Linked DNA regions of Elephas maximus indicus. The protein of the gene in region 2 binds, or shares a complex with, the protein of the main gene of each other region. Links are inferred from orthologs where the notes say so. Each region holds a gene or a part of one and is shown on either strand. Other genes may lie near its edges.

Region 1 (2,624 bases), on a different chromosome or scaffold from region 2:
TCAGTATGAAAAAATCCTCTGGCTGCAAATTTCTAGGAAAAAATTTGAGAACAGAGATGAAAGAACAATCCTGTGGGCAACACATGAGCTTAGAGAACTTACAAACCATAAGGCACGTTGGGAATTTACATCAGTTTAAGCTACAAACAAATTCTAAGAAAACAGACTAAAAAGAACTAAAAGAGATGCCATGGCTCTTGGAAGGATGACAAGTATTCATAGCAAGGACGGTAACCACATTTCATGCTGAGGTCTCAGGTTAGAGAACTGTGATTCTTCAATTAAACCGATATTCCTAACACTATGTTGCATTGTAAACGCCCTGCCCATGTTTCCTTGGTTGGTCACGCCAACCAAGATAAGGGAATGTGAAGGGTTGTAAATGCAGGCAAGAAACAAATTTGAGACCTTTCAGGTTTTGGTTTCAAGAAAGAAGGAAAAGATTGCCCTGCCAAGAGAGACTCCAGTTGCAAAAATATGGGCCTCAGACAGTAATGTAAGTGGCATATAAGGTGGAAGGGGCCAGAAGAATATGTAGAGAGAAACTTGACAGAGTAGCTGGTCAGAAAACAGAACCAAGTGTTTTCACATTTTATTAGCTACAGTATAGATCTAGAGCTGCCTCATTCCCTCCTCCCCACCCTCCCCCCACCTCCACAGGGTCAGGCCTTCCCAGGAGCCCCTGCCTTTGCTGCCTGGGCCCGCTGGAACTCCTGCTGCAGCTGAGCAAGGGTCTCCCTCTGTCGCTCTGACTGCCTCTCCAGGTCCCGGAGCTGGGATTCGTATCGCTTACTGAGGAGAGGCAAGGAAGACAAAGAAACAGAAAAGGAAAAATTAGTGAGACTACTGAAAGACTGAAAGCAAGAAAGATAAGTGGCAAAGCTGAGATCTAGGGGAGGGAGGAGATGGAGGGTTAAAAGGGAAGGAGGATGTGGAGGACTGCACAATCAGGGGCCACTGTGCAGAGCTGCTCTACAATGGTTCCTCAGCAACTACTCCAACAGTGTCAGTTGCATTACAGCGTTTGGGACAGACTCACATTTCAGCGGTTATATAGTCCAGCCTCTTCCCCACTGTGGCCCGTGCCTCCCCCAGCTCCTGTTTGACCAGCACAGGACCCAGAAGTTTAAAGACTACGTTGGACCCATCCAGTAGGGCCAGTTCCTGAGTAGAGGAGAGGGACATATACGATCAGAACCATCACCCCACAAATCCCAGTCACTTCCCGCCCCATAAATTCCAGTCCCTCACCTCCTTCACGATATTATTTTCTGTTAGTTGCGCCTCAAGCTTCTGCCGTCCTGACATAGACTTACTCAAGTCTGGGAAGTGGAAGGAAAAACATGATGAGAGACATCAAATGTGCCACCCGACTCTTACAATCCTAGTCAGGAGAATGGAGCTGAAGAAATAGACAAAGATGGGTCGATGGATACGGGGAATATTGAGGAGGGGATGGGGCTTCACACAGGGGCGTGGGTGGGGCAGAAAAATTTTGTCTTGGTTACTGTTTTGGGTTGTGCGTGAGTGAAGAGATTGGGGTGAGGCCACACCGACCCTGCTCCCTTACCCTTCTGTAGCTGTTGATATTTCTCCACTTCTCCCTGTAGCTTCTTCTGGATCAGCTCAGCCATGGCGGGGACAACAACCTGCGAGGAGCGGGAGAGGGGCGCTGGGTCTGACACTCTGGAAGGTACCCGAGCTTCCCTTCCTGGCCTGGCCGGCGGAACAGACAGCACTCTTGAGAAGCAGCCCCTCAGGACACCGCAACCTCTCCCCGTTGCGAATATCGACTCTGTCCCAGCCCCAAGGAATAAGGTGAAACGAGACCTCAACCCCTTCAGTCGAAAGCTCGCCCTATTCACGTTCTCCCTTTAGAATTACTAACCCCGGAAGTAAACAAGGAATGCTGGGAAAAGACGGCGCCGGACGCTGCCTTCTGAGACACGCCGGGAAGTGTGGTTCTGACATGTGTGATGAGAGGCGTTCTGCTAACAAGACTGGACTGAGAAGATTTTAGGCAAGATGGGAAAACTTAGATGGAAAAAACTTCACTGTTACTTGGTGCCGCGATTTGGCGTTCTTTAATCCACAGTGGCATTATTACTAGAGCAAAAACTGCCGTTCGGGATGGAGGTGCGAAGGACTACCCGTATTATTGCCGTCGAGTCGATTCCGACTCATAGCCAAGACAACCCCGCCTCGCAAAGGAGCGCTCACCCTCACTTAAGATGGCGCCAGAGGGCTTCAGACCTGGTATACGGCTCTCATTGGGTGAGGATCAGAGCACTTCCGGGGGTTTCCTAGCCTACTGTGGGACAGCTGAGAGGAGTTTGCACGTGGATCATCATCTGGTGGGCTTGATGGAGACTGCCCCCAAGCCGGGTGGGGATGTCCCACCGAAGAAAAATAGAGTTCAGTCCAAGAGGAAGGTAGAGGTCTCTCTGGGAAGGGAAGGGAATTTTTTAACTGCAGGGTCCGGGGGTGCAAGGGTCGTGGGTAGCGGAGCATCAGGGTCCCTCATCTGCCGGTAGAAACCTCGGCGATACTGGGAGGAAGAAGAGACCTCACCGACCGCTGCTAGAGCCTCCCCAGGACCCTCTCGTAGCAAGAAGAGGAAGCAG
Region 2 (3,753 bases):
TCAAACCCAACAAAGATGTAGACTGCCATGGGAGTGACAGATGGTATCAGAGTTGGTAAAAAGGCTGGAGGGTGGAGACATGCAATCAGCCTTGGGTTGTTGACACTGATAATAATGATTCTTCCCCCTTGTGAAGTTAGAGGGGGCCAGATGCTGCCTCCACGCCATTCTTATACCCCAGATGACTTCATCCACAACCAGGGCTTTATCTACTATCCATAAGCTCATAACTCTCTAATTTGTATCTCCAACTCAAATTTCCTTCTGTAACTCAGGATTTATTAATCAAGATTTATAGATCAAACCACCTACTAAATGTCTCTACTGGGATATCCCATGAGAAACTGAAATTCAAAATCCTAAATTAAACTCATTTTTCCCCACAAACTTGTTCACTCTCCTACATTCCCCAAAGAACCATTATCCACCAAAGACAAAAACCAGAGCAATTCCTCTTTTACTCCACTCTCAATCTTGCAATCCATCTCAAACTTTGAGTCCACCTGCTCCCCAAAATTGCTGGGCAACTCCATACTTTAGTGCTTTTTAATACATTATTTCCTCTATCTAGAAAATCTTCTACTTCCTTCTTTGCTTAACTAATTTATCTTTTAGAACTGAGCTGAAGAAGAATCTCCTCTAGAAAACACTTTATGTTGTTTTGCCTAATTATCAACATACGGTGATGAAGTCAGTTCTATTTAGTATGTTTTTACAGATGGGAAAAGCTGAGGGAACTCATTGTAGATCATATATAGAGAGTAAGCAGAAGAAATGAGATTCATACCCCGGGCTGTCTGATCTCAGTGCACTGTTCTTATGCTCTTAGCCATCCCCTCTACACCACAGGTTCCCTTGCCCACCTGCTCCCAAAATTCCATAACCTCTTGCTAAGTTAAGGGGTCACTCCTTGAGCAACCATAAAGGAGGGGCTGTGAGGCACACTGAAAATCTTTGGTTTGTAAGCATGTGAGCTACTTGAAGACAAAGACAATTTCATTTGTATGTTTCCCTGTACCCAGGAGAGTGCCTGGTACATGGCAGACCCTTAAGAAGTACTAGGTTACTTCCGTCCCTCCCGCTTTTCCCCTAAGCAGGGCCCTGAAGTAGTTCCAACTGATTCAGTCATGGCCAATGAAGCACAACCCGAACAGACTCCAATTTTTACAATTTGGGTGCTCCGGAATGTTAACTAGGAATAGGAAAAATGGTCAAAGCCCTGGAATGGGAGACTCAAAAAAGGCATAATGACCCCTCTCAGGAGCCTGAGGCATGAAACTGGATTACTGGCAGGACTGCGGAGAGCAACGCACACAGTTTCCTGCCATCTTTGAGAGGGGCACCAATGTTTCTGACTCCGCTCAAAATCCCACCGGCAAGAGATTTGGTTGCTGTGCAACTTCGTATGCTGCCCTTGTTTTCTAAGACGGAGATTAGGTTTCTAGCAGGGTTTCGACCTATTTTTTTCCCTTCAGGGTATCATTCCGGTTCACCAAAATTTTAAAAATCTGGGTCTGTTTCGTGTTGCTTCCTTGGCCAAGACTGACCCAGGAAGAACCGGTTCAAAGCCCTGCCCCTAAGTAAGAAACTCTCTCTTCCCTCCTCCCCAAAATTCCATAGCACTTTACATCTCTCTTGGGACACTTGTCTTCTGCTTCATATGAGTATTTTCTGTGTTTTATTTTCCCCACCAGGCTATCAGCTCTTTGATAGCACCGGACGGTTTTAAAATTTTTTATGCAAGGTACCTTTGCCTGTAGTAACTGTTCAACAAATAATTGAATGAACTTGTAATTAAAACAGCTAAGTTCAAATGCAACCTTATGCCACTTGATTACTGATCCTGTTTAAATATGTTTTCATTTCTATTGTGTAGGTTTCTTACCATTCCGATCAAACACTATTTTTTTTTCCCACTATTAGCAAACCATGGTTTCCAAGCCACAAAGGTTCTTTCTGATTAATTTATCAAATGTCTCTGACGCTAAGCACTGGGAGAAACGCAAACTTGGATCAGAAAAAGGCTTTTGGTCTCTTAAGAAATTCAATCTAGTAATGACACCCGAATCTAGTATAGAACACTAGGCTGTTCGAGTATGTGAGTCACGTGGCTCTGCAGAGTGGCGGCGATTGTCCACGTGGTTCCAGGGTCACGTAACAACATACTACACAACCAGCCCGTTGTCTAAGGCCCTAGGATTCCTTATGAGCAGCCTTGCCCGGCCATATCCTGCCTCGGGGGTGCAGAGGGAAGGTGGGGAAAGTGACGACCCATCTTCCCTCAGACTTGTGCAACCTCCCAGGCTCTGCACCCCAGGGCTTTCCACTCTCCCAGGTTCACCCATCACCCCAGCGGGGCGTGGCTCTCACCTACCCACCGGCCCACTCTCTCCCGGGGGGCTCGGCTGGCGTTTCCAAGGACCCTCCCCTCTCTAGGTGGCCATGCAAATGTGCAACTCGGGTAAAGGCCTATGCGAGCCACAGGCCCCCCTCTCCTCGCATCAACTACGGACCCAGCCGGGGTTGTTCTCCTTGGCGTTCTCCGCTTCTCACCTGTTCGGCCGACACCGCCCCCTTCCCGACGCCGCTACCGCTGCTCTTGCCGGCGCGACCGCTGTTCTCCGCCATCTTCGCCGCCTGCTGGGTTTCCGGCCTGCGCGGCTCAGCCCCCGCCGTGCGTCACGTCCGGTCTTGGAGTTACCGCCCACTCGCCTCCGGCGCCTTTGGCTCCAGGCCGCTCTTCGCCCCGGACCTTGCTGATGGTTTCGGCTGTATCCTGATGTAGGACCTGCTTCCCGTCCCGCCGGCCGCGGTGAATTCCACCTGCGGTGCTTTAACTTGTGCAACAGAGGCGCGGCCCCTGGGAGAGGCGGAGAAGGATGGGTTGACTGGAGGGTGGGGGCACGGGTTGGGATCTGGGTACTCGTGGCCGGGATCGAGGGAGGGTGAACTTCCCTTCGGAGATTCTCGGTGTGAGGGGGAAATATGCGTTTAGTCAATAAAGCTGTGCAGACGCACAGTCGAGAAGAAAGGCCTGGGAAAATCAAGGAAGTTTCCTGTAGGTGACTTTTGAACTGCGGAAACGTTTGACAGAGGAAAAGGGCTTCTGTGTAATGTGAGATCGCTGTAAGTCCAAGTATTCCGGCGCCCAGCAGAGCCCCTTCCTCTACTTTCCTACTTTGTGACCTCTTCCTGTAGCCTATGATTGCTTAGAGTGTTTTGAAGACTTGGGAGTTTTTACTGGCAGGGTTCTGATTCAGCCTCACAGTGTGAAGGGAGAAGTTAGAGAATCCCAGAAACGTATGGCTTCAAGGAGGGATCGGTGTGCTGATTTTTCATCTTCCTCAGGCTGGGCTTCATCATCAGGCCTTGTCACCAGCTCCTGCCCCTCCTTCTGTGTCCTGGACTCCGAATACCTCGACTCTCAGTACTTTGTGCTCAGCACAGGTAATGTGTTTTGTTGTGTCCTCAGTGCCTGGCACATAGTAGATACTCAGTGAATGTTAAATGAATGGATGGTGGGGAGACACAGGGGTGCCAACCATCCACAGAACATTTGATTGGTGAACCCACTAGGCTTTGGTCAGTGTGCCCTGTTAAGAGCAGAATCAAAGGGAAGTCCAGCCTTCCTGTCTCCCCATTTAAACCCCTTATCATTAAACTTGAATTTCCCCATGCTGGGATGTCTGAGAATTCTGTCTGTGCCATTCACAGGCCCAGAGCCATGGCCATCTCCTCTTCCTCCTGGGAACT

The links. Proteins that work in one complex are often made in the same cells at the same time.
Region 1: PFDN2 (region 2) and PFDN6 share a complex: the UniProt entries of both Homo sapiens proteins name them as parts of the PAQosome complex. The link is inferred for Elephas maximus indicus from reciprocal best matches to the Homo sapiens genes PFDN2 and PFDN6.

What each region holds. Positions count from the first base shown.
Region 1 is NC_064819.1:96,086,184-96,088,807, reverse strand, and holds PFDN6 (prefoldin subunit 6), read right to left. Parts: upstream 1,887-2,624; 5' UTR 1,635-1,886; coding exon 1,571-1,634; intron 1,323-1,570; coding exon 1,252-1,322; intron 1,165-1,251; coding exon 1,040-1,164; intron 793-1,039; coding exon 663-792; 3' UTR 625-662; downstream 1-624. Other genes in the region: WDR46 (WD repeat-containing protein 46), read left to right, coding at 2,131-2,274, 2,535-2,624. UniProt on the Homo sapiens protein: Binds specifically to cytosolic chaperonin (c-CPN) and transfers target proteins to it. Binds to nascent polypeptide chain and promotes folding in an environment in which there are many competing pathways for nonnative proteins.
Region 2 is NC_064821.1:199,927,475-199,931,227, forward strand, and holds the start of PFDN2 (prefoldin subunit 2), read right to left. Parts: upstream 2,666-3,753; 5' UTR 2,629-2,665; coding exon 2,554-2,628; intron 1-2,553. Other genes in the region: NIT1 (deaminated glutathione amidase), read left to right, coding at 2,780-2,781, 3,349-3,447, 3,715-3,753. UniProt on the Homo sapiens protein: Binds specifically to cytosolic chaperonin (c-CPN) and transfers target proteins to it. Binds to nascent polypeptide chain and promotes folding in an environment in which there are many competing pathways for nonnative proteins.